4 linked regions of the Drosophila melanogaster genome follow. The protein of the gene in region 1 interacts with the protein of each later gene in a pairwise test. Each region holds a gene or a part of one and is shown in the gene's direction. Other genes may lie near its edges. The genes, in order: Tbc1d8-9, prc, chn and AhcyL2.

Region 1 (9,182 bases):
TTAGATCAAATCCCGTCGCAATGAGCGTAACATCCTGACATTCTACGAAAAGATTGCCGTAATCCGTTACTATGACGAGACCAACATCTCTAGGAACAGTCTGGCCAAGATGTTCCACTGCTGCGCCACCCAAATACGTAGAATCTTGGATAAGAAAAAGGATCTGCTGCAGCAGTTGGCCACCTTAAGCGAGGCAGATGCCTCCATTATAATCGAAGAGATGACGCGCAAGCGCCGCAAGTTCGAAATGAGTGCCATCAGCTTCCTACTACACGAGTGGGTGGAAAGGTGCATCCAAATGCAGTTGAACATCAGCATAAGGAACCAAAAACTGAAGGAAACCGCCATCCGGATGGCAGCTGTGTTGAACCTGCCATCCTTCAGACCATCCTATCGATGGCTAAGCCGATTCCGCAACAAGTACAAGTACGAGGCCGATGAATTGGGCTACCAGGGCGAAAATCCCTTGAACCAGGACCTGCCTGTCGAAGACATCATTGTGGAGTTTAAGCATGCACTGCCGAACTTCATGCAACGGGAGCTGGATAATCCAGGCGAAGCAATCTCAAAAGCAGCTGTTATGGCAGATTTTGTCAATCTCTCCAGCGAAAACAGTATCATGTCCGATCATCCAGAGGGGGATAATGAAGTGGAGCTGGTAACATGTGAGCCCACCATGATGTCCTCACCATCCAGCACACCAGATGCTGCAGAGGGGGAAATACCTCTGCAGGCACATGGCGACCAGGAAAACCCGGATGATCAGATTAACGCTGGAACCAGTACTCTTCTGAATGGGGTTTTTCCGCATCTAGCCATTATCCACCAGTTCGCTCTGATGAACTCGGATGTACAGGCATTGGAACTTATCTCCCAGCTGGGAGTGCACATGCAGCAACAGGCTGTTTCTGGAGCTTATCATAACCTGTCGCTGGCGACTACCGATGGAGATGGGCAAGACGATCCAGGAGAAATCGCTCTTTCGGAACTGCCACCGGGAAGTATTTACGCCGATATCGATGACATCGAATTGATCGAGTAAAAACATCAATTTATCAAAAGGTTAAAGCTAGTCTAAACTTATGCCTCAGCGTAGTCGACTGTTATTTATAATCAACAAATCGTTTTGTTATGAACTTAAATGAGTTCATTTCACCAAAAAAGTACTTAAGGCCTTCGACTTTTATTAAGATTAATTCTTAAAACAACAACAATAAGAGATCTACTTCATAATTTAGTTTAAATCAAATTCGATTTGATTGATTAAAAGGTTAATAAACCAGAATTGCTTATTATGATCATGTTAAAATTTAATAATCCGCAGATAATTTGGAAATGGTGGTAATTTGGGATACGTAGTTTATACGAATCGAGAAATATTGTCTATACCAAGTTTATAAGCTATATCTAAACATACCATGCGTTTGTCCGGAATAATTATCATATCAGAACTGCATTCTGGAGTGGCTAGTTGTGGCTTGACCTCGCCCTCCTCCTCTTCCTCGCCCTCCTCCGCCTGTTGTTCCTCCTCGCCCATGTCCATGGGACTGTTGAGGACGACGAGATCTTTGGGACATGGCCTATCGACCCTGGCGTCGTGCTCGACGAGTCCAAAGTCCTTGCGCGCGGCCAGAATTCGCTCTCGCATCTCGGCATGGGTCTTTAGCTCCGCTGGAGTTCGTTGTGGCACGATGCACATGGTTAAATCGTCGTAGAGGTCACATTTCTTTTTATAGGGCTTTGTGAAGCGGGATTCCTCCGCCTTGTGGTGGATGCGACGCAGCTCATCCTCGATGGTTAGCACTTGGGAGATCGTGGAGTTGGGTGGCTTTTTCTGACAGACGCGATCGCGGGGCGGACAGTTCTCCGCCTTCCATTCCGGCGACGTTTCGTTGCCCAGAAAGGTACGAATCTCATAGGGATTGTTAGAGGGACTGCACTCGGCGTTCACTTCCACGAATTTTTTCAACATTTTTGCAAAACACTGACGATTTTGCAGGAGTTGAGAATAAAACTAGTAATTTTGTAGCACGACACGTTCGTTGGGCTTTGAACTTGTTATATAAATGAGAGGTTTCAGTTTCGATTTAAAGCTAAAGGCTAACTATGTAATTTATATGGTAACTTTGCGTAATATTAAACTGTTAATAATGAACATTTTCTGTTTCTCTATTCGGCTTCTAAAAGCCAACAAGTTTTTAAATTGGAGAGAACATATTTCGCTTAATTGAAGTTAAGATACAGATTCATATTCTTAGGTTTAACTAAACGTTAACTATTTGATTCAAAAATCGGACGCAGAGTGCACCCATTCACAATAGATTGCTTAGTTCTTTGTGCGTTTTGTGCTTTCCAGCCAACGGGCACACTTGCCACAAAAACAGCAATCAGCGCTCGATGCAGAATTAAACAAAGAGTAATTTTGTATTTAGAGCCTGGCACGGGCTAAGAACAATCAAAATGTGGATTCAGCCCAAGGAGCTGCTGCTTCCCTCGGCATTTTGGTGAGTTATAGCCCAAGTCCGCAGCCGAATCGAAGGATTGCCGAAAATCCAAATTAAACACGGCTGCATGGGTGTGTGGGTGAATTGGAATGGACGGCATGTGTATATGCAATGTTATGTTTATGGAAGACATCTCATGGAATGCGATTATCGCGAAGTGCAGGCGGAATGGGGAGCCGCCGATCACGTATTTGGATTAGGCACAAACGTCGTACTTGCAGCTAGCTAGTTGAAATGCATTTGTTGATAACTAATTGAGCCAAAAGTTCAAGACTCCAACTCTTCAGATCGCTGGTTCTGATTTCGAAACGCAAAAAGTGCCAGCTGTGTAAAGTCAGCTTGAAAATTGATTTCCAACTGTTTCCTGCTGCGTAGAAAAGTGCAGACACCGCCCTCTAGAAAATAGCCCCCGTTAAGTGGGGCCCTCCCCCCTTGATAAGCCGACTCTAAAGGTGAACACCATAATTTTCGCCCACAGGATTGCCGAGATGCACTCGAGATACTTTGTCCTGCAGAAGAGACGTGGCCATGGGGAATCACGCGGATTCGGTTCCATGTTGGTGGGCACCTACGACAGCGTGATGAACACCAAACCGGCACCCTATCGCATCCTCCACCAGACGCCCTCGTCGGAGGTGTCTTACGGTAGGTCCAATATCTCAGACTCATCCGCTCTATCAGTTCCAGTACCTCGGGTCTATTTCGTATGTCCAGCAATCGGTGACCGTGAATCATCGGGCTTTGACTCGCATTTATGGGAGTATGCCAATATTTCTTTCATCTACGGTTCCCTCGGCGCTTACGTAAACATGGAACGGAGCTGATTACAAAAGCTGCGGAGGCTGGATCGTTCCTTTTGTTATTCAATTTATATTATATTAAGAAAAGAAGGCAACTGACGGAGTAGGGTACTTGAAAACCAGGCATTTTCATCTCAACATGCGCAAGGCGCTGAAATGCGTGTTATCCTAAAGTTTAGTAAAAAATGTTTAAACTAATTTTTGGTATCTTACTGTGCCTGTAGAATAATTAATTCCATATCCATATTGTGCTGATATGGTTTTTAAGTCGTGTTCTATAGATAAAAATATAAAAAAGATTAACAAGAATCTATTCCCTACAGAAATCGCCATTGGCATTACCCAGGATGAGATTGTTAAGGATTGGGAATGGCTGAAAGCTAATCTCTTTAAAGTGCTGGACGAGATGGAGAACGAGGACGAGGTGACCAACTTTACCATATGCAAGATCCAATCTTTGTACACGCAAAACAATCAAGATGACACTGGCGAATCGGCCGATTTCAAGGTTATGAAATCAAAGTTTAGACAGATTTTCAAAATGCCCGAGGAAGAGCGATTAGTTATCTCTTATTCGGCCACGTAAGCATATGTTCAGTATACATTAAAGGTCCATATTTACTGAATATTGAATTCCAGTTATGTAAAAAACAAGATACCAAGGCAGGGTCAGCTATACATTTCGCTAAACCACGTCTGCTTTTACTCCTACATGCTGGGTCAAGAGATCAAGCGTATTATACGCTTCGCAGAGCTGGAAGACATCAGCCGAAATGCGAATACCATCTATCTAAAAACCACCAATAACATGACCTACAACTTTACAATGCTCTTCAACGCCAGCGATGCACACTTATTGATTGAGCAGCTCAACAAAATGGCCATACAGCAGCTAATCCATGATCCAGATAGTCCTGTGGTCGACCACGATACTTCTAATTTCTCACGGTTGGGTTCCAAAACGTCCAAGAAACCAGTTCTACTGCGGGATTTGACAGCTCGCCAAAAGTCCGAGGAGTTTCGTATTTACTTTCGATTGCCACAATCGGAAATAATTGACGGAAAGATTAAGGCCAATATCTGGACACCTTACTCAAAACGATTTAATTCGGGCTTTATCTACTTATCGCCGAATTTCTTTTGTTTTCGTAGCGATGTAAAGGATTTGGTCAGCGTGGTTATACCCATGAAGACCATAAAGGTTCGCAGACCATAAATGTACTCGATTTCGATAAGTTTTAATTATTGTTTGCACTCTAGAGCGTTGAAAAGAAGGATGATGGCCAGCAACGTTTCGAAAACCAAATTGTAATTATAACATCGGAGAATGTGCCTTTCATGTTTGCTCATATCGTGGACAGAGCTGTGTTGATCTCCAAGATCACAGACCTTCTGGCTCGAGTTCATGTGTAAGTGTTAGATTAAAAATCTATGTTGCTATACTTACATGTATATATTGATCCTAACCATATTATTTAACGCAGTCCTTTGAGTCGCGAACGCGCTAAGTACGACATTTCGTGGAGCAAGCAGACCGCTCTGATGAACACATTCAAGACACAGTTCAGCGCAGAGATCATACAGAAGCAGGAGGAAAAGATGGTGCGCTGGGAGGCGCATTTCCGGGACTTCGGACGGGGCATTGGAATGTTCCGCACAACGGACGTGATAAATCTAATAGTGGAGGGTATTCCTGACAAACTGCGCCAGGAGATCTGGCTGATATTCTCGGGGGCAATCCACGACAAGGAGATGAATCCCGGACTGTACGAGGATCTCGTAGAGAAGGCGGCTTGCATAAAGAACTGCTTTGCCCACGATGAAATTGATCGGGACTTGCCGCGTTCGCTGCCCGAGCATCCGGCATTTCAAAGCACCGATGGCATAGGTGCTCTGCGGAGAGTCCTTCAGGCCTATGCGCTGCGGAATCCACAAGTGGGCTACTGTCAGGCCATGAATATTGTGTCGTCGGTGTTCCTGCTCTTCTGTGATGAGGAGAACGCATTCTGGATGCTGGCCAGCCTGTGCGAGAACTTACTACCGGACTACTACAAGGATAAAGTGGTGGGCGCCCAAATCGATCAGGGTGTGCTTAATGAGCTAGTGGAGACGCATTTGCCTGATTTGCACGGCCATCTGGAGCAGTTGGGTGTGATTAAGATGATTTCCATTTCCTGGTTCCTTACCATCTTCATGAGCGTGATCAGCTACGAGAGCTCGCTGCACATCCTGGACTGCTTCTTCTACGAGGGCGCCAAGATCATTTTTATGATTTCACTGCAGATCATTGAATGGAACAGGGACAAACTGTTGATCTGCCAAGATGATGGCGAAGCCATGCTAGTTTTGCAGAACTACCTGGAGGGAGTCTACAATCCAGAGTACCAGGTGCCTCCTACGACGGACAAACGGAAGATGGAGCGTAAAGTCCAAACACAAACAGTTCAGACCCTGATCCATGAGGCATACACAAAGTTCGGTGAGGATATCACACAGCAGCGCATCGAGGAGTTACGCAACAAGCATCGCCGGTTAACGATGCGACAGTTCGATATCGACAACGAGAAGACCATTGTCAAGGCTTACGTCCAGAATCCGTATTTCAACCGCAGTGAACTGCATATGCTGCTCACTATCATCCGGGAGGAAAAGCACGCCCTTAAATCCCTGCAACAGCAGCAGCAGAAGGTTCAATGCCCGTTGTCTGAGACTCCCCAGCTGGTCCCTCAGTCGACAAGCAGACCGATCCAAGATGCCGGCGCCTCCGGAGGCAGATACGAGGCTTACAGTGTCAGCTATGAGGTATTCCACACACTTTTTACGGAACTGACACCCTGGCGTAAGTGCGTCAGCGTGGACATTGGCGAAAAATTGTTTAGGGTATGTTAATGATCTTGGAATAAGAATTGGCATGAATCTATATGTCTCTGTTTTCGTTTTCCAGCTTACTGATAAGAAGGGAACTGGTGTTCTCGACTTCGGACAGCTCATCAATGCATTGGGCCTGGTCTGTTCCAACAAGAACATGGAGAAGCTGAAACTCCTCTACGTTTTACATCTTCCGCCCCTATTGTCCAAAGCGGAGATTGAACGATCACGTCGCCCGCGCCCACGCACAAAAGATGATGCCGAGGAGGCTTTCGAGGCGGAGGATTTCTTTGAGTGAGTGTTTTCTGAGGCCCAAACTATAACGAACTAAAACCATGCATTTCTTATTTAGTAATGACGCCTCCGAGTCGATGGAAGCGTTGCCCTCGCCCTCGGATCACAATTTTGATGCCGATGACTTTGCCCTGATTAGTGCCACCCAGCATCTGCACAACCTGGCCGGAATCTCGGGAAACACATTTATGGACCTGTCACGCACTCCCAATCTGTCGGTGAACTCTAACACCTCCTCGTTGGCGCATCGCAGCTCAACCTTCTATGTGGACCTGCCGGGATTCCAGGGTACTGCCACATCCACAGATGCTGGGCGGGACGAAGACGAACTCCAGCGACAGCTTCGCCAGCAGGGCCGTTACGAATCGATTGACACATTTTCGGATATTTCAGATCTGGGAGCGGCACGCATTACGCCGCCCGAAGCGGGAGTGGGAGCTGATGTGGTAGCCGGAGCAGCCTCGTCTGCGGCCGCTGATCACATGCTTCTCAATGTCGAGACTATATCGAATTTCTCACAGATCAGCGACCTTGTTGCGGCCACACGTCTAGAACGTGTTGACTCGAATGCCACGGACTTGCGAAGCTTGGGCAGTCTTGGCTATCTGCTGGACCAGCCGGACGAAGGCGCTTCAAATTCGCAACACAGCATTCCCCACATGCGTAAGGAGAATTTTCAGCTGTTGTGGCGCAGTATCATAGAGATCATGGGTCTGGTCCAGGATGAAGAGATGCAAAGGGCTTGTAAGTATAGCCTTTAAAACGTGAAAGTACCATTCAAAACTATTGTTCATTTTTTAGATGAGAATCTCTTGGAGCTTGGAAACAGCAATATTAAAAAGGAGCCCAGCCTGGAGAGCTTTACCCAGCTAAATATGGGTGGCGATGAGGTATGACTTGCTTTGTCTTTTCAAAGATTCCCAACAATCAAAACAAAACTAAATTTTTCTTTCAGCAACCGGATAGCAATGGCAATCCCACCACTCCTGCACCAGAACCCATTGGCACTACCCGTCTATTTGTGGCTCTAGAAGAGGAGCTTCGTCAGGCGAGCGGAAAGTCCAGGACCACAACAACAAGCAGTGGGGACAGCAGCAGCACTAACATCTCCGAATCCTGGCACATATCTATTACCCAGTTTATCGCCACGGTTCTGACTGTCAACAGCATTGTAAGAGGTTTCCAAACACCAATCCAAATAAGCGAACAGATCGAGCAATTGCAAAAGAAGCGTCGCAAGTGTCTGTCCACCAATTACTGAATAATCATAGTCCCATCCCTGCCCTATGTCCTGTCCCCCCACAAAACTGTATTAGCCATATTCTATGAGAACCTGACCGATTCTTTATCCTTGTGCAATGCGACAAGCTTTTAAACGTATCCATGTTATATGTATGTATATTGTATTGCCTCTACCATTAAGTTAAGACAATTGTTTGTGAATATAATTCTATTATTCCTATTATACAACGCAGTCACATATAAAAAATTATCGATGCGGGATTTTTGTGTACATATTTTATGTACTTTTCGGGTGACATTTCCCGAATGGACACTTCGTAGGTTTCATACTTTTAGAGGTTTAAATGTAACAACAATAATATAAACTCATTTCAGAAGTTATTCGCACTGTCCATCGATCACTTATTTATCCATCCATTTGCACACACCTCTACTCTTCCATGGCCACTTGCTGCGAGCTCCTCCTGTTTGCCGACGCATGTTGTCGCTCGTGCTCCGCCGTTCGCACCAGACACTCTTCGTAGGTCCATTTGGGGAAGACTCTCTTGTACAGGTACATGAAAGCAGTGTCGTAGGATCGCAACTGCCCATCAAAGTAGCACTTCATGTGGCCGTGCGTGCCCAGTGACTCCTTAATGTGTCCCAGCCGTCCGCACTTGGTTCTTAGTTTCACAGGCTTGAAGTACTCCACATCCTCCTTGTAGAAGAACATGTAGCGAATAGAAGCCGACTTGCGATTGATACGCATGGGATGACCGCTGAGAACAACGCGCTTGAGAACAATACGATCTGGATTGCAGGACAGCAGGCGTCCACGGGCAACCAGCGCCAGGGTGGAGTCGGGATTCACCTTGAAGGCCAGCACGGGTGCCGGAGGGAACTGAATCGGTGCGTAAAACGTGGCGCAAACTGTTTCGTACGGACGGAAGTAGCGTTCGAACTGGATAAACATAATCCATTAATAAATAGTCAATTACAAATTAGTCCAAATATTACCTTATGCTTATCCCCATTGGTGTGCTGACTGTAAATGGGATTCACAACAAAGCGACGATAGCCGCACTGGATTATCAATTGTTCTTTAGACTTCAGCGGCACCTCCGAGTCGGGCATTCGCTGCAGTACCACGTTCATTACGCACATCTGGTGCTCATGGGGTAGCATTCCATATACAATAATGTTGTCCATAAGCTGGGCGGACTTGAAGGCATTCCAGCGGCTCTCAGGAACATTTATCACATAAAGAGTGACGTATAAACCAGGCTGAAAGCAAAAACATTATAATCTTATAAAACCGAATTTTTGGAAAATCCCTACCAGAACGCCCTCGAACTCCTTGGCTTCATTAAGAATCCTACGCTTGGTGCGGTCGAAGTTCTGGAACTGATAGATGCGAGCATAGTCAGCGGGAAGATTCTCCTTGGCATCCCAAGGCGAAGTTCGGAAGGACTCTAAGCCGCGATATTTCTGGAAC
Region 2 (9,080 bases), 9.4 Mb from region 1:
GATACAACTGTAGAAGATTCAACACCGATTCCTGAGGAAACTACCACTGTCGCCCAGGAAACAACTTATGATCCTGAAGGGAGCACCACGAGAGACGACACAACTGTTGCAATCGAGACAACTACCGAAAAACCTGAGGATGATACTACGGCAGAAGGTTCAACACCGATTCCTGACACATCTACTACTGTTAACCAGGACACAACAACAGACGAAAGTAGCACTGTTGTGACTACGACGAATATTCCCAAGGAGAGCACAACGTTAGGCGATTCTACCCTATCACCGGGAGAAAACAGTACTGCAGGACAAGTTTCTACAAGTACCACGCTAGTATACGATACCACGAGTAGTCCAATTCCATCTTCCTCAAGATCCACAACCTTAGAACCCTCATCAAGTTCTTCCCCTGAAACCACAACTTCAAGTCTACCACCATTGTCTTGCAGTACCGGGTATCAATATTTACCCCATCCAACAAATTGTCATAAATATATTCACTGCAGCAACGGGCATGAACTAATTATGGAGTGCCCAGCTAATCTTTATTGGGACTATCATAAATTTGTTTGCAGTGGAGATTCAGGTGTTTGCTACAACGACACTGAAAATTCCAATCCAGAGGAGAAGGTTTGCGGACCTGGAGTGGATTTCCTTGCACATCCAACGGACTGCACCATGTATTTGCAGTGTAGTAATGGCGTGGCATTGGAGCGCAAGTGTCCAGATCCGCTGTATTGGAACCCGGAGATAAAGTCATGTGATTGGTCCAATAAATATTGCACAAATCTTCGGGCGAGTCAATCGATTTCTTGCGCAGCGGGCATGAATTTTAACGTTTTTCAAAGCGATTGCTCCAAATATGTCAAGTGTTTTGGCCTGAGAGGTGTTGTAATGAGCTGTAATTCAGGACTTTACTGGAATCCCGTTAGTCAAGTTTGCGAAAAGTCCCGGCGATTCTGCACATAAGAGTAAGTCCAATTAAAGTAGACAAAATTTTAATAAATAACATGCGGACACTTTTTTTCAGGAGCAGTGCAACGGCATTATTCATTGGACAATATTTACCTAAGAAATGAATAAAAAGATTGCGAATTATTAAAAATTTATTTATACTGTGGAAATTACAAATCGATTAATTAAAGTTAGCAAAATTATTAATATAATGAAACAGAAACTGAATGTTAAATTCCTATTGTTGTATATAAAAAAAAAAAAACACATTCAATCGCATTTTTATTTCACTGGGGTTTTTTTTTTAGATGATCTAAATAGATATTTTTGGATGCATGCAAATTTATTTCAATAGACTGAGACACTTTGGTAATGAACTACCCTATTGTTATAGAAACAAAAGGTAGTCTCAAATTCATCTCAAGGTGTTACAAAAAATTGGTCTCAATATAAATTCTTATTACGATGTAATAAAAATTTCATAGCACTTTATTCCCATTAAAATTGGAAAACAAGGTTAAAGATATTTTTAAGTGCAATTGTATCTAGTAAAATAAGTAATGGGTACACTGTAGCCGGATTATTTGCTTTCCACAGTTCCTAGGCCTTTTTCGTAGATCTTATCAATCTAGGTTTCAATTAAAAATATTACTAGCCTTGAAACACACCCCATACAGACGATGGGTATTCAAAAATTGAAAATTTAATGCTTCAGTTCAATTTAACACATGGTTTCATAGAAGCTCTTAGCAGATAAGGGTATAAAGCCGAATTCAACATTGAATGGGGGCTGGTAGAGACTGCTCTATATATAGATATGACGATGGGTAGTCTAAACAGAAAGCGAAAGCAAATAGTTAGTCTCAAAGGTTATCTGATTAAATTACTTCCGCCAATTTTTGATTTGTAGAAATAAATAAGTGGCTTGGGAAATCCAAAGCCCAATCGATAAAGCCTTCGCCAGATGCAAAGAGAGCACATACAAGTCAAGTGAATGAGTGTGGGCAGGGACACACTTGAAATGTATCCAAGAGATACACAATTGCGTATCTTTATATGCTAATAAATGCCAGTACATTTCCCTAAAATGGGTCAAAAGAGTCCCCCATCCGTTGGCATAGACTACGATGTTGTAATGCCCATAGAAACTCATTTGTCGAGGGGGACGTCAACGCGCCGCCCCTTCCATCGGCAGGCCAAGCCAGACCAAGTGATCGATTGACACGATCAAAGCGCTGATACGTAATGGAATAGACACTCGAATGAATAGCACTGGCGACGAGCTCCCAGCTCGGGCTCCAAGTGCCCTGATCCGCCTCACAGATACCAGCACTCTGCGCTGGTGTGGATCCTACATAAATATTCATGCTGGCCAAATGCAAATGTATTGGAAATTGCTCGCCTTCAATGAATTTGAGTTCTGCTCAAGCTCTAGAGTTTTGATGCTCGTACAGGGCAGCGTTATTCGCAATCCAGCAGTTGTCGCGATCGGAAGCAAATCGGAAAATCTCCATTGGATTCCTAGAACACGCAGCCGAAAAAGTATGTGCCTAGGATGTGTGCCCTCGCAGCAAGGACATAGAGCAAAAACAGCTCTCAAATACAAGGGATTAGTGAAGAAATAAGATAACAAAACATCCTATTAATTGTGCATTACGAAACGGATTACAACTTGTAGAGTTTTATTTGATAAAATTTAAATGTGAATTTCTATATGCAGTGAAATTGAAATCAACCAAAATACAGGACCTTATATCATTAGTAAATGGTCAAAAAGAACAATAAGTGTGTAAATTATAATGTGTGCAAACTAAGAATCTTGTACTAATCGAATCATTGACAACATCTAAACACAATTATGTGAAGATTAAATTTTCTTCCCAAATTTATTAAATATTTCTATATTCAAATATAAATATGTACATTCTGTAACAATTCATATTCGCCAGGATAATCACACAATTATCCTTTCGAAGTGTAAAGTGCTTATGTGACTTTCTTGTATTTTTTACATATAAAAATCAAAATAAAGATGTGAAAAGCGAAAGATATCAAAAAGGATATGTACATATGTATGATTTCAGACTACAAATTCAAACACGTTTGTGTCAAGAACTAAAATTCGAAACTTACATTAATCAGCCTTAGCGATTACATCACTCGCAAGACTGAAATATAACTCAAGATCGATTGCCTTTTTTTTGGCATCTAATAGCACAGCGTGCGTGCTCATTTTAAAGAAAAGTGATAACCTCTGAAAGTGACGGACAAGAAACACAGAGAAGGAGTATAAACTAATAATAACACGCATCTATATGGTGTATTGATAATACAATTCAATTTCATCTTACAGTTTGCTGGTTGTGTTGCCGCGACGTCGACGCCTTTCAATTGGATTCAGGGTTTAATTTATTGAAATGTTGCCCTTTCGCTTGGGCCTGCTACTTGGCGCCGTGCTATTCGTGGCAAGCGCAAATGGAGCTGCCATCGTAAGTTTCCGAATTGTTAATGAATCTCCCCGAGAATTGTTGCTTCTCTGTGTGTGTTGAATGGAACTAGAGTAGTGTAATGTAAATGAACTCGGTTCGAAAAGTAGGCGATAAGACATAATTTGACCAAGGTCAGTTTCTTACAAGCAGCATCTAATCGGGCACACTTGCACAGACCCTTTGAATGAATAAAGATTAGACTGACATTAGCATTGAATTTAAATCGATGTATTAACTTTCAGGAAAATGAGGTTTCTAGTCTGAACGACTTGCAGCGGGAAAAGAGAAGCGGCAGAGGCTAGTAAGTAGTTGGTTAACAACTATTTTGGACCAGATGGGCTTACTTCCTTTCCATGTTTATCCGCAGTTCGAGGGGACAAACCCAGTCTCAGTACTTAAATTTCGGTAAGCCTGAGGAGGATGGAAAGGCTGAGGCAGAGGCTACCGAAAATGGATCTCGCTCCACTGTGTGTGAGTACGGGTCAGATGAGATTCATTAGCACTTTGTCCATTGACCTCTTGACCTCTTTCAGCTGGCACCCATGGAATGGGTCAGGCTCAGAGCCAGTTCTCATCAGGGGACTGCAATGGATGTTCTGGCTACCAAACGGATTACCCTTCTTCAGGCAGAATTCTTGATGCTAGTGGATCCGGAGGCATCGGTAGACCCGATTCCATTATAAGCTTACCCGGAGGTGGTAAGTCGTATATAATCAAAATGTATACAGTTTGATATATGTTGCTCTCCCTGAAGTTGGCGGACAAACCGGAGCTGGACAAGCCGGATACGGAAGCCAACTTGGAGTTGGCGCTCAGGCCGGTGCCGGACAACCCGGATACGGTGACCAACCTGGAGTTGGCACTCAACCTGGAGTCGGACAGCCCGGATACGGAAGCCAACCTGGTATTGGCGGACAGACTGGAGCCGGACAGCCCGGATACGGAAGCCAACCTGGTATTGGCGGACAGACTGGAGCCGGACAGCCCGGATATGGAAGCCAACCTGTGGTTGGAGCTCAGACCGGAACCGGACAACCCGGATACGGTGCTCAACCTGGAGTTGGCACTCAGACTGGAGCCGGACAGCCCGGATACGGAAGCCAACCTGGTATTGGCGGACAGACTGGAGCCAGACAGCCCGGATATGTAACCCAACCTGGAGTTGGAGCTCAGACCGGAATCGGACAACCCGGATACGGTGCCCAACCAGGTATTCTTGGACAGACTGGAGCCGGACAGCCCGGATACGGCAGCCAGCCTGGTATTGGCGGACAGACTGGAGCCGGACAGCCCGGATATGGAACCCAACCTGGAGTTGGAGCTCAGACCGGAACCGGACAACCCGGATACGGTGCCCAACCTGGAGTTGGCACTCAGACTGGAGCCGGACAGCCCGGATACGGCAGCCAGCCTGGTATTGGCGGACAGACTGGAGCCGGACAGCCCGGATATGGAACCCAACCTGGAGTTGGAGCTCAGACCGGAGCCGGACAACCCGGATACGGTGCCCAACCTGGTGTTGGCGCTCAGACTGGAGCCGGACAGCCCGGATACGGAAGCCAACCTGGTATTGGCGGACAGACTGGAGCCGGACAGCCCGGATACGGAAGCCAACCTGGTATTGGCGGACAAACTGGAGCCAGACAGCCCGGATATGGAAGCCAACCTGGGGTTGGAGCTCAGACCGGAGCCGGACAACCCGGATACGGTGCCCAACCTGGTGTTGGCGCTCAGACTGGAGCCGGACAGCCCGGATACGGAAGCCAACCTGGTATTGGCGGACAGACTGGAGCCGGACAGCCCGGATATGGAAGCCAACCTGGGGTTGGAGCTCAGACCGGAGCCGGACAACCCGGATACGGTGCCCAACCTGGAGTTGGCGCTCAGACTGGAGCCGGACAGCCCGGATACGGCAGCCAGCCTGGTATTGGCGGACAGACTGGAGCCGGACAGCCCGGATATGGAACCCAACCTGGAGTTGGAGCTCAGACCGGAACCGGACAACCCGGATACGGTGCCCAACCTGGAGTTGGCACTCAGACTGGAGCCGGACAGCCCGGATACGGAAGCCAACCTGGTATTGGCGGACAGACTGGAGCCGGACAGCCCGGATATGGAACCCAACCTGGAGTTGGAGCTCAGACCGGAACCGGACAACCCGGATACGGTGCCCAACCTGGAGTTGGCACTCAGACTGGAGCCGGACAGCCCGGATACGGAAGCCAACCCGGATATGGAACCCAACCTGGAGTTGGAGCTCAGACCGGAACCGGACAACCCGGATACGGTGCCCAACCTGGAGTTGGCGGACAGACTGGAGCCGGACAGCCCGGATATGGAACCCAACCTGGTATTGGTGGACAGACTGGAGCCGGACAGCCCGGATACGGCAGCCAGCCTGGTATTGGCGGACAGACCGGTGGCGGACAACCCGGATACGGAAGCCAAATTGGCGGACAGACTGGAGCTGGACAGCCCAGCTATGGAAGCCAACCTGGAGTTGGAGCTCAGAATGGAGCCGGACAACCCGGATACGGTACCCAACCTGTTATTGGTGGACAGACTGGAGCCGGACAACCTGGATATGGAGGTCAAACTGGAGTCGGTGGATCGCCTGGATTTTTAACTCAGCCAGGTATTGGGGGTATAAGCGGACCGATTGGAGGGAAACTCGGTGGCGGACAATCAGAAGCCGCAAAACCTGGATATTGGGCTCAACCTGGAATTGGCGGACCATCCAGATACGGCAGTCAACCTGGAATTGGTGATCAGACCGGAACCGGACAGTCAGGATACGGCGGGCAGCCTGGAATTAGCGGACAGACCGGAGGCGGACAACCAGGATACGGAGGACAGGCTACAATAAGCGGACTCCCTGGGTATGGCACTCAGCCAGGAATTGGAGCACTAACCGCTGTTCCTGGCGGACATTATGGATACGAAACTCAGCCTGGAATTGGTGGACAGACCGGAACCAACCAACCCGGATTCGGTGGTCAACCTGGAATTGGCGGACAGACTGGAGCCGGCCAACCTGGATATGGATTTATAGGTCAGCCTGGTATTGGAGGGCAAACAGGAACTAGTGGAAGGCAACCCGGTTACGGAACCCAACCAGGAATTGGCGGACAGACTGCAGCCGGACAGCCCGGATATGGAAGCCAAACCGGAGTTGGCGGACAGATCGGAGCCGGACAGCCCGGATATGGAAGCCAACCTGGAATTGGCGGACAGACTGGAGCCGGACAACCCGGATACGGTGCCCAACCAGGTTTTGGAGGACAACCCGGATACGGAAACCAACCTGGAGTTGGCGGACAGACTGGTGCCGGACAGCCCGGATATGGAAGCCAACCTGGAATTGGCGGACAGACCGGAGCCGGACAACCCGGATACGGTGCCCAACCAGGTTTTGGAGGACAACTCGGATACGGAAACCAACCTGGAGTTGGCGGACAGACTGGAGCCGGACAGCCCGGATATGGAAGCCAACCTGGAGTTGGCGGACAGACTGGAGCTGGACAACCCGGATACGGTGTCATACCTGGATTTGGAGGACAACCTGGAATAGGCGGACAGACCGCCGCTGGAAAGCCCGGATACGGTGGTCAACCTGGAATTGGTGGATCACCTGTGTATGGAACACAGCAAGGAACTGGAGGTCAATCAGGAATTAGCGGTGGCCAACCCGGGTACGGAACTCAACCTGGACAAACCGGAGCCGGGCAACCCGGATACGGAAGCTTACCTGGAACAGGTGGTCAGGCCACAGCTGGCCAACCCGGATACGGACCCGGATCTCAACCCGGAATTGGCGGACAGACAGTTGGTGGGCACGGTGGATACGGTAGCCAACCCGGAATCGGTGGAGCGCCAGTTTATGGAACACAGCCAGGAGGTGGCGGCCAAACTGGAGTCATTGGAGGGCAGCCCGGACAGATCGGAGACAGAGTAGGACAACCAGGATACGGAACCCAGACAGGACAAATTGGGGCACCAGGTCGATATACAGATGGAAGTCAAACTGTACCTGGTGCTGTTGGCACCGGTGGAGTTGGTAAGTAGCTATCAAGGCGGTGGAAAACAATGTTTTGAATTGCTCGTTTCCCAGTTGCTGCCGGTACCAGCGGAGCTGACGATGCCTTCTCCCAAGCCGAGTCATCAATTGGCGACGGACAAGCGTCGGCAAGTGCTCAGGGCAAGAAGAATGGAGGCACGGCCAAGACTCAGGTGTCGGGAACTTACAGCTCCGGCGGAACCTTTAGCGCCAGTGCAATGACGTCCGATGCTGATCGTGCGGCCAGTGCACAGGTTACCGGAAATGCTGATGGAGCCGTGAGTCAGTCTCAGGGATCGGGAGGTCCTGCCCAGTCGCAGGCCCAGGTACAGGTTGCCAAGGACGGCGGCACCAAGGCCTCGTCGCAGAGCGGTGGCATCATCCAACAGAGCCAGAGCGAGGTTCACGCCAATGACAAGGGCGGCCTGGCGGACGCCCAATCGAGCGGACCCGGACAAACCTCCTCCCAGGCCCAGATCGGTTTCCGACCCGGCCAGGAGGCCAATCCTATAGCAGCTAATGGTGGCGGCCAGGCATCGTCCTCATCTGGCACTCATTCCAGTCAGAGTAGCTCGCAGATTCACGGAACATCGAGGTAACATTGCTATAGGATTATTGATTATTGACTTTAGCCACTCATTATTGGTTTTGTATTTCAGCTTTGGTGTTTCTTACCATGGTGCTGCACAATCCGCGTCGGGAACCAAAGAGCAGGTTGCTACTTACAGGGAAGCAAACAGGGAACTCTTCAATACCATCAGTCAGTTTGGCAACAACGCAAATGCGTAAGTAATCGGAAAAGTGAAGAAAGAAAGAAAAACATGTTTTGGGCTATTTAAAAAAAGGGATAACGTATGCTTCTGTGGTTTTTAAATTGGCAAAATATGTTCAAAATTGATTTCGAAAAGTCACACACTTTAGCTCAATCAATTTATTGTGATTTTATAACTGCCATGCCTTTATGGAATTCTTTAGCATAAAACGTATTCATTTTTGTATACTTTTTGAGGTTATTTATGTTGGATACATAAACGAATAAATCCTTTAAAATTTCTAACTACTTTTGCTTACTTACTTTTCAAATGGGAAGTGCGTGCCTCTGTAAAATTTATACGATTGTATTTTATTTTCTTTTCTTTAACTTTCAACTTCCAGTGTTACTGATCGAGCTGATGCTGTCTACAGTGGACCCGCGCTTACTGATGAGTCCGACAGGGTGCCAGAGGCGCAACTGAAGTCCACCAAGCCCAAGGAGGAAGCGGAGCAGGTAGTGAGTAAGCTAGACCACCCGGAGCCCGTTCAGTACGATGATGAAGATGAGGCCGATCCTGATGAATACGATGAGGATGAGTACTATGAGGAGAAGCCAGTGAAGCTAGAGGAATCCCCAAAGTCGTCCACCATAGTGGCACCAACCGAGGCAACACCTAGGCCCAAGACCTACAACCAGTCATCACCCACGCAAAGCCAACAGACAGTCGTGGTGCCGGTGCCGGGTGAAAAGTATCAGGTGGTGCAAAAGCAGAACGGTAAAGCCACCATCAATGCAGAGCCCTCGACCACCGAGGCCATACCACCGG
Region 3 (6,381 bases), on another chromosome or scaffold:
TCTGTGGCTCTTTAGCCACATATATGGATACATTTATTTTTGTTGCTGTCTGGAGCGGCGTCTAAATAAGTTTTTCCGTTTCTTGTTTGCATATTTTAACCAAACAGCAACTTTAGTATCTATGTATCTATGCATCCGCATCTGTGCATTTGTATCTGCATCTGCACTTGCTCCTGTCGCCCAGTCCTTTCATATTTATTCGTTTTCATTGCGTTTTCATTGTGGCTCGGACTTTGGCTTTGGGTCTCATTCGTTTTTAATTAAATGCATAAACCAAAAAGCCCGTTTGCCGTCAAATGTTGGACACAAAAATCATTTTTGCCAACCAGCAAAATACAGCAAAGCGGCCCAAAAGGGCCATAGTTTTATTTTTCATGTACCTTTTATTTTTCCCAGCTCTGGAGACAAATTACTGGGGGGAAATGCTCCTCGGCACAACCATTATGAATTGTTTTTAATTGCATTGAATTTGCTTTCGGTGAAAATGCGGCAAATATCCACAAAAATCGAGGCCATCTGTGGAAAAAAGGCAACACGAAAAACCGAACAAAAAATTAAACAGTTAAGTAGGAAAAATGCAAGAAAAAAGAAAAACGCTCTTGTTGTTGGTGACGTTGATTAAAAACTTTTCGAGACAGTTGACGTTGCAGAAAATTCTCAAAAATGGAGATGAAAAATCCTGTATTTTGGTGTGTGTGTGTGTGTGTTTTTGTTTGCGTGTGTGAGTGCAGCTGAAGAGGCAACTGTAAAATTAGGTTAGCAAAGGAGTTTTGGGGTCTGTGGTGTGGGCTATGGGTTATATGGCTGACTATGTGGTCACATGTGCAATTTGATTAAAACTTGGGTGCCGCTAAAAAAAACTGCTGTCCTCAAGTGACGGAAAAAGTGGACGAAAAAATGACGAAAATCTAAAAATGAACGTCGTCATGGCTAAGTGGTAGCCATTTTTTACCTGCAATCGTTTTGCCACTCGACTGAATGGTTTTGCGGCTAGGGCAAAAACATAAAATCCGCGAAAATTAATTAAAGATTGCGCACCTTACGCTAATCTGTTTTAATGAAATTCCCTTTTATGTTTTTTCTTGGCCTTTAAAGTGGAGTGGGTCATCCTACAGATGAATAAATCCTATTTTTTGTCTGCAATGTTCTCTTTCAATGTATCATGTCAGTACTATTTAATTAGTATTTTATTATTAATGTATTATGCAAAGCTGCTGGCCTTCTTAAAATAAGTAGTACATTGTACTAATAAACCAAGATTATAATATTTTATATATCGAGGATTAAAACAGTTTTTGTTTGGCAGCTTTTTGGCAAAAAATTATAAATACGAGTGAGCATTTTAAAAACATTTTACAAATTGACAGAGTTGGCATGACTAAGCATTGTACATGGCTATAATCCAGTGAATATGTTTATTGATCAAATAAAATTAATCAAATAACCGTATGTAGAATTCTAGGTGGTAACTTAAACTCTACAAGTGTAGCAATTCGGAAAGCAGCTCCAAAATAGTTCGCAATGGGTTAGTGACACAGCTAATATTAGAAGGTAGTAATCGTGTATGATGTAATGTAAAATTATTGTAAAATGGAACCGGAAATGTAATTTTTAAGGAGGATTGCAAATGAAATTCAATTTCAATAGCATTCTATGTAATGGAAATTCTTTTAAGCTTAACAAATGAAAGCTTAACAAATAAGAAAATTGGTCTTTAAAAATCATATGTTGTTGTTTAATTAGTCAAATAATAAATTCAACTATTATTATACTTACAGATAATTAAAAAAAATAAATAACTTAAGAGATTTTTTGCTGTGGCCTTTTTTCCGCGCTGAATACAATTAATTCGATGTTTTCGGATGTTTTCGGCGCGACTATCGATAATACCCCGATACTGACAAATAAAAAATAAATTATTTTTTTATTTTAATATACTCTTTCTTAATTTAAGTCAATTAATAAGTCTATTTATATATTAGAATCGTTTTTTTAGCTTAGTGACAAAGTTTTGCCGGAGAGTCCACTTGTTATGCGTGGGAGCGTGAGCGTTGCGGAATGCGCGCGCTTTTTGCAATTGTGGAAAGCGGAAAAGCGGAGGGGTGTCAGAAGAAGAAGCAGGGCGGCGCAGACAGGAAGCTTTTCCCACAATTGCACAACGTCGGAGAGGTATTATTATTACGCGACAGGCAATCGGCGCGGCAACAACAGCAAACTAAGCAACGCATCGCAGACGCAAAAACAAAACTAAATATTACAACATATTTACTTGGCCCAATAGGGGGAGGGACGGGAAATTTTCCGCCCAACCCATCAGCCACCCCAAAAGAGTGGGTGGCGGAGAATCGCCGTAGGATCCGCTCCTCCGCGACCATTCATATTCATTCAGTCACGAAATCTCATTCGGTGTGTGAGTGTTGATGAGGTTAGTTGTGAAACGCGGTCCGTTCTCGTTAAGTCGGAAAACCGAAAAGTGCATCAAGGAAATCATTTAACAAATCAGTGAAGTAAATTAATTTCCAGCTGCAAAGGAGAAACACAAACCTACTAAACAGTGTGCCGCGCGAAAAGAGGCGAAAAAGTGTTGCATACTCCGGGGCTGGCTGCAAAACCTCCGCTAACATGTTGGTAAGTTGGTGAATAAAATATTTTAAAACAAATCGGATCAGAGTAGCATGGAGTATCTATTAATTGATTTTCCTGGGAGGGGGGGCCTTTCCATATCTATTTTCCAAGCCAAGTGATTTATTGATTTTTCCGCAATGCGTTTGTGTGTGTGTGTGCGTATCTTTTTCGGTATGCACTTTTTCCAGAGAAACATCCCACTGGGGGCAGCAACCCCCAACTAAAAAGCGCCAACTTCTATTTTTCCTTCATCAATACTTCACACAAACACACACACGCACACAGTGGAATAAAAACAAATGGTATTGGTGTGTGGATTGGAGCAGGCGCTCTATGCAACGGTATAGCAACCCCCAAACAATGCACAACCCACCCTCTTTCTCGCTCTCGTTATGGCTTTGAAGGGTATTACTATCCCGCTCTCGCGACAATAGCTCAACTGTTTTGGCATTTGAAAACTAACTGCCGCCCCCATCCCCCCGCACCCACCTATCGTAACCCCCTTAGTTTCTCGCTCCTGGGTGGGTGGTTGTTTTTCACAGCCGGAGCACATCATAAATTTTGTGTCTATAACAATTTTTGTTATATTCAACCACCCCACCCACCTACCCACCACCCCAAAAAGCGACCCACACCCCTTATCAAAAAAGTGCAAAGGAATTGTGTTGCACTTTCGAGAGTTCAACTTCCGTTCGTTCACTCTCGCGCTCTCTGGGAAAATAGAAAATAACGGCACAGGCTTGCGCTCTCTCCAAAGAGAGAGATGCATTTTCATTTCGATTCGATGGGGGGTTTTGCATATGATTTTTTGGGGTTTCGGTTTTTATGCAACATATGCGACTACATATGTATGCATATGTATGTAGGAGTTATATAATTTGTATTTGATTATTTTGCCTTTGACGAATTCCGTTTGTGGCATGGTGTTTTCAAATGAAAACTAAAAATGTGTGGTTTTTTGTTGCCATGGGCAATATGGTGAAAATTTGTGGGTGGCAATGTCTGCTGCAGAATGCAAATAACTGCATTCGAGTGCTTTATATATATATTTATATATATAAGATTATATTCCCACGCACATATTTTATACATTTATATATTATATGGAAAATGCAATTTGTATGCAGTCGAATTGCACTTGCCCGGGATTATGCCTATATAAATAAATACTATGTACGGGGTAGGGGGATACCGGCAACGGAATTTCGTTTCATGGCGTCTCCATGGATTATATATAGAAATTAGTTGTGTTTTTGAAGCTGCTTACATAGACTGACAGCTTAATTGCTTTTTACTCGTCGACAAAAATTGATTTTAAGCTCGAGTTAAACGAAGCCAAGCACTGGAAAATGCCTAGAATGCAACGCATATTCCTTTAGATTGGAAAGTAAAGGGGTGGAAAACGGAAGCAGACTATAAGACAAAGTTAAGCAAGTTCGTTAAGCAATAACAACTAAGTGAGTTCGTTAACCCAACAATACATGACAGCATTGTTGAAAACTTTGACTAAAATTGGAAATCATTATATTAGCGATCACTTTCTTTTATTTCCAAAAGAACCTTATGTACTTTTTGAACTTGATTCTTTGGTAGTCACTACATAACATGAAAAAAGCGTAGCGATCATTTGATTTTATTCTTAGCCGCAAACTGACTATTTCCTGTTGACTTCATTTCATTCACACTCCCCACGCTGATGATGATGATTGAAAAAATCACCCAGGGGCCAAGACCCAGTGACTCACCCGACCGCAAGGCAAGCCAAGCGGAGACTGTACCCAACCCAATGCTCAAAACAAACCCAGTCTCGAAAACGCACACACACACACACACACTACCCACCCACTCAGACAAAGTGGATTCGAGTTGGGAGTTCGGAGGGAGTTGCGCATGCGTGGCCGTGTCCCACGCCCACTCGTCAAGGGGTGTCTCCACATAGGAAAAACATTTACGGAAATCTAAAGATTTGCTCTTTGAAATTATGTTAGAACTCACTTGATCTATAGGAAGTCACAACTAGTACTACATTTTCATTGTTTGAATCCTATATCAACGGGATATAACAACATATAGGCAACGTATTATAACAAATGCCTACATAGACAGTATGCAAATTTGTACCAATAATGTCCCCTCTTTTTTCTCTGTGCATGTTGGATGTGAGATAGTGTACGTATATAAAGGGTTGGAGCGAACTATACAGTGGGAACCAGTGATCGCACAACCACCCCCGGGGTTCCCAAGTTAAATGAGACGTGACAAAGTGCAAGAGTTTCGACCCCTTTGAGAAGTGCCAGGCAGATTTCCTCTTCACAAGTGGCGCCCAAAATGGGAAGCCCTATTCCAGCGAGGAGACTTTCTCCCAACTGCAAAACCGAAGAAGGGCTTCGTCTTCAGGGGCAACAGGTTTTGCTGGCCGTAGGAAGCCATGTGCTGCTGTAATTGGTCAGGCTCATTACGGGGATCGTTGGTTATATCACAGCTTGCACCGGGCCAAGGATGGACTAACGGGTCCACCCAGGCCCAGTGAGCACTGCCTCCGAAAGAACCTCTCAGGGGGATTCGAGGTGGCCCACATGTTGTCCACTGACGGCTGCTCACGAACCGGTTCCAGTCACCAGGCAGCTCCTTTATCCGCGATCATCATCATCTCCATTTCCATCACCACCATCATCATCATCTCCTTGGCCGGCCACTTCCACTTGAGTGGCAATGAAGGCAAAGTAGGGTGCTCAGGCTGCTCCATTTCGAGGGTTAACCTGTTTGCAGTTACCCTACGGTTGAGGTATGTGGGTTTCAGTGCACCTTTCGGTAACTACTTGATTTCGGGAAATACGCTTATGTCTTTCATTTTAAATCTTTAAAGAGCAGTCATGTGTACATATTGACTACTGAACTTAATTTTAACAAATGAAATAATATTTCATATATTATGATTACTTCATGAAGGAACTTAAAAACTACTTCCGAATGATAGGGCATTTCCAGGTCTGTCTGGCCGAATAGACATTATGCATCTTCTTCACCTCATGACACCATATGCATTTTTGCAGCCACACATCGCTGGCGTTCTTCCTTTTGCGGGGGATATATGTACATGTATGTGCATAAATGAGTAGTGCGATCAAAATCAGCGTCATCGCAACCTGCAAACCTGCAGTAACAACAACTTGGCGACCAAGATGCACTAGAGTCCATTGATTGCCTGTAACTTTCAATTTCATTGAATTGATGCAGTTGTCGTTGTTGTTGCACTGGGAGTTCCCCATTTACATATGAGTCATGCATATAGTAGATATAGGCAAGGCAACAGTATCAGAGATAGTGCAAATTTATAGGCCAGCCAACCAAAGGTTGAATGGCAAGTCTTGAACCCGAAATCGAAATCGAATGCGGCTAAAAATCAGCCCACGCCGAAAATCGGCGGGATATGCCGCCACCCAATCGAGGCTGCCATGTGGGTGAATTTGTTTATAAATACAGTGAAACTCCGAAAGTATGAACCGTACACTTATCAGTTATGTGCAAAGTTTAACTGAAAAATCAAAATTAAATCTCTAAAAAATGATTTTAAAACCGAATCGAAGGGTTCGTTTTCACTACAAATGTATTCAATTAGTAAAATGACGGGTTATGGGAGTTCGACTGTGGCTTCGTCATGTGTCTACCTGGACCATGTATCGCACGAGTTACCACCCCACCCCCTAAACCCCCACGCCTCTAAACAAATCATCGGACACTCAACCGGGAAGACGG
Region 4 (7,647 bases), on another chromosome or scaffold:
TTCGAATTGAACTAACTCCCAAAACGGCAGAATGACTGGATCAGGTGAGTATTTAAATTAAATCAATTAACTTTTCATCAGAGTGGATATAATACTTTGTAGACAGATCGCTTTCATATGGAAGCAATAATTTTAAAAATAGCTGTTTTACCACTTTCAATCGAAATGTCACGATCAGATTGACGCAATGCTCAAGAAAATTATTTATAGCATACTTATGGGTATATCAATTTAGCTATCTAATGTAGAATAGTTGTATACAAAGTTTTGTCAAATACTTTTTCGTTGATTAAAAAAAAAAAAAAATAAAATATATATATAACAAATAGCATTGCAAGTTTTTTCAAATCATTCTGTCTGTAAGGCAGAAATAATACAGAAGATTAAATACAGAAGATAATCATATATACGTATTGATGAATAGTTAAAACCCATTTAATTCACTGAAAAAAGAAAGTTTATGACCTTCTATTATTTTTCTAAATATCTAATCATCTTTTTCCTTTTTTCACCTCTTAGTGCACGATCCGAAATGGAGCCTGGAGCGCCGCGAGTCCTCTGGCCATTTGGTGTGGCGCAAGGACTCTCCGGAGTCGAAAGTCCGTTTTCGCTTCGACGTCGAGGTCCTGGAGTTCGAGAGGCATCCTCATGAGGAGCTGGATGACAAAGAGGATCACTTCTCGATGACCAATCTCTCGGCGACAGTGGCCATGTGCGCAACTTGTGTTGCCGTGGTGGCCGTCTCCGTGTTCCTGCCCTGGTATTTGATGGAGAAAGTGGGATCGCTTTAAAAAAAAAAAAAAAAACGGGCCTCAAGAGCCCGGCTTCTTGTATATAGGTACCCGGACGGTATTAAGTAGACTCTTGTACATAAGCAAGCGTAGTTTTAACTATTTGTATATAGTACGTACGTTGTATATAGGACCTGTGGTTTTTATAAGGATAGAGTTGGAAAAACTCTAGGTGCAATACGAGTGCGACAGTGACTGCTAAAGCCGAACTATGGAATGTGGATTGTATTTTAGGACGTGTACATTCTCATAATTTTAGTCCTATGAAAGATCGCAAAAATAGTTAATGGAATAAACGAAATACTTGCCCTTAGAAGTTGTATCTTTTGTTTTTGGGTCCCCAAAGGGTCGTATCTGGTGTATGCAATAAAAGGAGATTACAAGATCACGAGAATTCTCAACAGAAGCCGGTATAATAAATGTTTATCACGAACAATGCAGATACTACTCGGAATTGAAAGCAACCAATTAGACCTTCGAATGGACATTATGAACTGCTCAACCCCTGGAGCTCTGCACCAATTTAAGGTAACAATCATCCACCGCAGATGCTGCATCCCTTAACGAGCATCCCCTCGCAAGGACATGCGATGAGGGTTGATGGCGTAATCCCTGTTTCGGTGCCTTGATTAAAATTCTTCCCTCTTTATGGCCATGCTAAAAGCGCGCAGGCATTCAATAAAATTCACTGCTATCAAATCATTGGGCAACGATGGCTAAAAATGGCCGATTGGCACGTTGGAAAGTAAACTTTACGACCCACCCCTTGTAAACACCCAAACTACGTTGAAAAACTAATTGAAAAAACTAATTAGAAGAAAGAAGGTTCTAATGTTTGTTTACATTTTTTCATCTAATATGTGTTTAGCCAAAAAAAATTAAACTGAGTTTTAAAACATACCTCTTAATTTATATTTTCTCATGACTTGTCTTGAGATATGCAAACGCAAATTATTAAATATTTTTTGTGTGTGTTAAACATAGTTCCGAGAATGTTTTGTTTGTTGTTTTATAAGAGAAGGTCTCATAACATTTGCAGATATTGCTTATATGATACATTGCCGTTATAAAATTAATGATAATTACCTCACACTTTTTTTGTGAACCTTGATAAGAGTGACGTTTTTCTAGGGCTGAATTCCTTTTATTGGATCGCATCAAAAGGGCCAGAGTACTTAGCTTCCTATATTTGTGCCTGTGGCGATAAGAACCTACTCTGCTTAAATATTTCACATTTAATTTCAATTATGTCAAGCCTTTCAACTCGACTTAGAGTGCACTTCAACCTTAAGCTATGTAGGTGCCATAATGAAGTTCACTCATCCGAGTGGACACTTTGCCTACGTCAGAGCTTAAATTGATTTCCGTAATCTCCCGAGGAATACTGCATGGGGTGAAGTTGTGATTATGATAAGCGGACAAGAGGGATAAGGGGGGGGAAGGCGGCGGGCGCCGAGATAAGAGGCAGCGTCGTGATAAGATTCTCATAAATGTGGCGATCTTTTATTTGAACCGCTGCTGATACTCGCTCCGTGGACTTGTTGTGTTTTTGGTTTTTTCTTTTCCTATTCGCTTTTTACTTGCCGTATTTCTGTATTTCCACACGATCGTGCTGCCTCCCAATAAACCCGGTGCAGTGAGTCAGTGTGTTGTGTGCCCCAGTCGCGAGCGGACGATCCGTGGAGATCGCAGATTGCAGATCGCTCTAGATACAAATACATTAGGCAAACAGACCGGCAGCGGAATCGATCGATTGGCGATCTCGTTTGAATTCGAAACGCGGGACGATCTAGTCTGATCGGAGATCTCCAGCAGAACAGACGTTGTGCCTCCGCCGAAATATAGGAGATAACATATATAGGATATACATAGACTAGGTGACATCCAGCACTTGCACTGGATGATAAGAGTCGGTCTCTCAGCTGCATTGAACTTAAGAAGTCGGAATAAAACGCGACAAAGCCGAGCATACTTTATAACCTGTTTCGGATCCGTCTAAGTGTAAGTCTCCGAAGGTCGTTTGCTCGTTTTGAATAAGTTCTGACACTGAATAAGTTTGTTTGATTGTTTGTTTTTATTCGAACTGCTGGTTTACTTTTTGTTTTATTCTTTATCTGCTCGCAGCGCCTACAGAATGGCCAAAATGCCGGAGACAACGTTTGCCGACCTGAGTCTGGCTGATAAGGTAACTACATACATACATACATACATATAACCATGGGAGGAAACAGCATAGTGAATATTTATTAGCCACTTGAAGTTAGTAGGTGTGTTGGCCAGATTCCCACAACTGGTTTCAATCGCTGAACTTGGCGATTAATATAAAAACAGCACGTGACACTGCGACAACCAAACAAAGCGCCCAAAGACGTTCTCTGAACAATAAATTAAAGCGATACATTCACCTCGAAGCGTTTAATACCCTTGGTGAAAGTGATTGAGTAAAAAATTCAGTAAAGCAGCATTGATTAAAGCTGAACTAAATTATCACAGTTTTGAACTATGAACTTAACAAAACACATATTTAACATGGCCGCCATAAATCATGCTAGTAAATCTTACATTATTAGCTCTGCAGACTTTCAACATGTAATCAAATTATTGATCTGCTGGGGTCATGCGTAGATAGTGGAAAGGTATAATGTTGTAGATACAAGTGCATGTTTATTCCATATGGCCAGTGAAACGTAAACAACAATAGGCACAATAGGCCACGGTATACAGTCGTAGATTTCATTAACTCAACTGTTTACATACACTCCGGGAGGCCATAGACGTAGGTCTGGATTGTAGATCTATAGATCTATATTCGCGATTTCATATCTCTCGAAATCAATTGGCGCGACGAATTATCGCCGGTATGCTAAACGATGCCAATTAGTGACCAATGTATGCGAATGTATTTGCTTCGGCTTTTCTCTGCACTTAAATCTGGATTTAGCTGGAAACGACGCAAAAGTCGCGCCTTCAAATAGGTTTTCCATCAAGAATTAATCAATCCCAATAATACTCACATATGTGCGATTTTGCATGCTTTATATTCGATGGCAATTTGTTAATTGAAAAGTGCAATAAATTCATGGGTTTGTGAATCGAATCCATTACCCCTGATTACGCGGTATATTATACATATATACTAAGCCAAGGGAGTGGAATCAAATTCATTAGATGTGGGCAAATATATTTTGTAGTTATTAACACGAGAAGGTGATGCTAAAATATGCAAAAAACACCTGATTATAGATAAAATAGAATAAGTCTATTGTATTATTTTCTCCCTTTTGTATAACATGATTTATGTTAATTCGAAAGAGTCTATCTTTTAGTTTGTTAGATATTATTATACGCGCGATTAAACAAAGCAATTTGCGGGTCTCCAGATGAAAATGTTAACAAAGCTTATCCCACATAAATATTTAAATTGCATTTAACTTTATTATTATTATTTTTTATACAATAGACTGCTGTGAAGAAGTCAAGTATTGAAGCTCGGCGGTTTTCTGATGTGTCCACCTGCTCATTCAGTTCCAGTAAGTACTATAACTATGACTAAGATGTAATGTAAAGCATTATTTTACATGATCTATCTATAATGAAGCATAAAGGATATCATTGTTTTCCATTTCAATATTCTCTCTTGCGATTGAACTCACTTAATGGTCACTTGATCTCTTTGTTAGCCTGTTTCACCGGAAGCTCCGACGAGGAAGACGTCTCCCCGAAGGACAACCATCAGCGCAACTCCGCCGGAGGCACTGACTTTTGCGTGAAGAGCATCTCGAAGAGTGCATTTGGAAGGCGGGAGATCGAGATCGCCGAGTCGGAGATGCCGGGCATCATGACTCTGAGGAAAAGAGCGAAGGATGAGAAGCCCCTAAAGGGTGCCAATATCGTCGGATGCACCCACGTCAATGCTCAGTCGGCAGTGCTGATCGAGACCCTCGTCCAACTGGGCGCCACAGTTCGCTGGGCTGCCTGCAACATTTATTCCACACAAAACGCAGTTGCCGCCGCTCTGGCAGAGGCGGGAATTCCGATCTTCGCCTGGCGCGGAGAGACGGAGGAGGAGTTCTGGTGGTGCTTGGACAGGGCCATCTACTCCGACGGCTGGCAGCCGAACCTAATCCTGGACGACGGCGGCGATGCCACGCACCTTATGCTCAAGAAGTACCCCGACTACTTCAAGGCCATTCGGGGCATCGTGGAGGAAAGTGTGACCGGGGTGCACCGGCTGTACATGCTGTCAAAGGGCGGAAAACTTACTGTTCCGGCCATCAACGTTAACGACTCAGTGACCAAGAACAAGTTTGATACTTTCTACACGTGTCGTGACTCCATCCTGGACAGGTGAGCATAGATACTCATGATTAAGGAAGAGTACTATCTCTGACTGGTCCTTTCTAATAATTCTCTTCCAGTCTGAAACGCACCACGGATATAATGTTTGGCGGAAAGCAGGTGGTGATCTGTGGGTACGGTGATGTGGGAAAGGGCTGTGCCCAGTCCCTGAAGGGCCAAGGATGCATTGTTTATGTTACGGAAGTGGATCCCATATGTGCTCTACAAGCTGCCATGGATGGATTCCGGGTGGTACGGCTCAACGAGGTCATCAGGACGGTGGATGTGGTGGTTACGGCAACTGGAAACAAAAATGTTATTACCAGGGATCACATGAATCGCATGAAGAATGGTTGTATCCTCTGCAATATGGGACATTCCTGCTCGGAGATTGATGTGGTATGTATTCGGGGTGATTCCATTGTGGCCTTCATATATCAAAAGGTTTTTAACCCACTTTAGAATGGCTTGCATACCCCGGAGCTAACGTGGGAGCGTGTCCGTTCTCAAGTGGATCACATCAGGTGGCCGGACGGCAGGATGATCATTTTGCTCGCCGAGGGAAGACTGGTGAATTTGTCCTGTTCCACCATTTCGTCCTTTGTCGTATCCGTGGCCTCATCCACCCAGGCTTTGGCCCTGATTGAACTCTTCTCAGCGCCAGGAAGATATAAGTCGGATGTCTACCTGCTGCCAAAGAAAATGGGTAGGTTCTTAGTTAAAATAGCTAAGGAAATCTTTGGACAATTTAAATTAATTTAATGAATACTTTCAGATGAATACGTGGCCAGTTTGCATCTCGCCACCTTCGATGCTCATCTCACGGAGCTCACGGATGAGCAGTCCAAGTTTATGGGCTTAAACAAGGCCGGGCCTTTTAAAGCCAATTACTACAGGTTGGTTACCCTTCTTTCCCTTTCAATTTTGCACTCTAGTTAATAATATACTTATTTCATTTGCAGATATTAATCAGTATTTAATGCTTTATCCCGTTATTCTCGTTCTGTAATTTTGATATTATTTAGAAAATATATGAAAATACATTTTAACATAAATGGTTTTAATTTGGGAGCATACAAGTCACTGTTTTCTTACAACACATCATATTTTAAATTTTTCATTTTGATTTCAGAGAAATACCAATTGCTTGGTGCTACCCGAAGTTAAAATTCTCTTCGTTTTAAATACATTTTAAATAATTATTTGAAAATTTAATTGTAGGTATTACTCCTAAATTAAAATTATTAAATATTTAACATTATTATAATTATTATAATTGTCTTATCAGTCTCAATTGGTTCAAGTCCATTCCAATTAGGCAAATTTAACTTACAAATTCTGTAAAATGTAGCATTATGGTTCGTGTTTTGGCTAAAGCCAATTTTACACATACTTATTCGATTCCAATATAATACAAAAATTCTACGTGGAAGTTTCTACACGTCTCAGTATATCTACATGGGACTTACATATCAGTAAGTATATCATAATATATGATATATATAATCAGTAAATTATAAAATAATCATAAAATAATAGGAACCAAAAAGTATTTTTCGAAAAACATTAAAGCTGAATTAAGATGCTAGTACTGACCAGTCAGACATTGTAAGTCTATTTACAATACCTTTAAAATTCTCAGTAGCTATATTTTGAAATGTCAAATTGGGATAGAAATTGTATGATTTTTAACTTGACCACACAATAACACACTTGATCACACTTTCGTTCACTTAATTATCACTGGCCATGGGTTCGTTATTAAAGGAGCTCGTATGCCAGATAAAAGAAATACAGTCCGATTTGAAGAATGACACCCATGTAGGTGCGACTAACGGGGAATGGAGCCGAAAAGAAGTTCGCAAAATGAAGATTTGTTTAGGGAAGGTAATTCTTTTCACAAGGTCCTTGAGGGAGACATTTGCGGAAAGTCAAGAGTCCGGGAATCAAGAACAATCCTCGAAGGCTTTAGTTCTGTTACGATGTAAGTTAATCTTTCAAAGTGAAATTATTATATAAATACGTATATTTTTGAGTAGGTACTCGGTACATTAAGCGCTTGTCTATGGTCCTGACACTACTTGAGACTGAAGAAGGCTTAAATAAAGTGAATAAAACGCTCTTCCAACTGGACGTTGATACAATTCTTTTTGAACTGGAGTGTATTGTCAAGGAGGCCTTGAAATCTCTTTCAGTGTCGCGATTCCCGTACCAAGAGTCATCTTGTACCACTACAGAAACTTTAGTAAAAGAAAGTCCCATTTGTGAGTTGAATAAATTGCGGCTAATGTTGAAAAATGAGAAGAAAAAGCAGGAGCTAGAAATAATGGGCCACAATTTAATCATAATGAAGGAGAAAACTTTGGTTCTTCAGGCCCGTAAAAATCAAAGGGCAGCGGAAAATAGACTAGCTGAGAAGCAGGATCGCATCAAGGCACTCGAAGAATGTCTAGCCAACTGCAAGTTTCAGTTGAAGAACGTCAACGAACAGTATCAGAAATTGAAGAAAGCCAGCAAT

Evidence for each region.
Region 2: the proteins of Tbc1d8-9 (region 1) and prc interact in a two-hybrid assay, tested with the Drosophila melanogaster proteins (one large-scale study listed by BioGRID).
Region 3: the proteins of Tbc1d8-9 (region 1) and chn interact in a two-hybrid assay, tested with the Drosophila melanogaster proteins (one large-scale study listed by BioGRID).
Region 4: the proteins of Tbc1d8-9 (region 1) and AhcyL2 interact in a two-hybrid assay, tested with the Drosophila melanogaster proteins (one large-scale study listed by BioGRID).

The regions. Positions count from the first base shown.
Region 1 is NT_037436.4:21,336,898-21,346,079, reverse strand, and holds Tbc1d8-9 (TBC1 domain family member 8/9), read left to right. Parts: upstream 1-2,363; 5' UTR 2,364-2,460; coding exon 2,461-2,504; intron 2,505-2,982; coding exon 2,983-3,149; intron 3,150-3,627; coding exon 3,628-3,886; intron 3,887-3,943; coding exon 3,944-4,505; intron 4,506-4,564; coding exon 4,565-4,713; intron 4,714-4,788; coding exon 4,789-6,184; intron 6,185-6,248; coding exon 6,249-6,466; intron 6,467-6,524; coding exon 6,525-7,210; intron 7,211-7,267; coding exon 7,268-7,356; intron 7,357-7,421; coding exon 7,422-7,727; 3' UTR 7,728-7,930; downstream 7,931-9,182. Other genes in the region: ebd2 (earthbound 2), read left to right, coding at 5-1,042; CG32436 (uncharacterized protein), read right to left, coding at 1,418-1,972; Tsr1 ribosome assembly factor, read right to left, coding at 8,139-8,648, 8,705-8,971, 9,026-9,182.
Region 2 is NT_037436.4:11,959,469-11,968,548, reverse strand, and holds the start of prc (pericardin), read left to right. Parts: upstream 1-2,417; 5' UTR 2,418-2,496; intron 2,497-3,307; 5' UTR 3,308-3,371; coding exon 3,372-3,443; intron 3,444-3,685; coding exon 3,686-3,744; intron 3,745-3,810; coding exon 3,811-3,914; intron 3,915-3,976; coding exon 3,977-4,141; intron 4,142-4,197; coding exon 4,198-7,500; intron 7,501-7,554; coding exon 7,555-8,095; intron 8,096-8,159; coding exon 8,160-8,285; intron 8,286-8,655; coding exon 8,656-9,080. Other genes in the region: Muc68E (mucin 68E), read left to right, coding at 1-969.
Region 3 is NT_033778.4:15,113,061-15,119,441, forward strand, and holds the start of chn (charlatan), read left to right. Parts: upstream 1-2,400; 5' UTR 2,401-2,628; intron 2,629-6,381. UniProt on the Drosophila melanogaster protein: Probable transcription factor involved in the development of the adult pattern of macrochaetae. Required for accumulation of achaete (ac) and scute (sc) in proneural clusters.
Region 4 is NT_033777.3:16,976,968-16,984,614, reverse strand, and holds AhcyL2 (adenosylhomocysteinase like 2), read left to right. Parts: upstream 1-2,456; 5' UTR 2,457-2,792; intron 2,793-2,915; 5' UTR 2,916-2,925; coding exon 2,926-2,976; intron 2,977-4,251; coding exon 4,252-4,321; intron 4,322-4,471; coding exon 4,472-5,138; intron 5,139-5,209; coding exon 5,210-5,528; intron 5,529-5,591; coding exon 5,592-5,835; intron 5,836-5,904; coding exon 5,905-6,068; 3' UTR 6,069-6,091; coding exon of another isoform or gene 6,092-6,098; 3' UTR 6,099-6,176; downstream 6,177-7,647. Other genes in the region: CG18622 (uncharacterized protein), read left to right, coding at 32-44, 520-791; Actn3 (alpha actinin 3), read left to right, coding at 6,996-7,113, 7,169-7,647. UniProt on the Drosophila melanogaster protein: Might play a role in the regulation of methionine metabolism.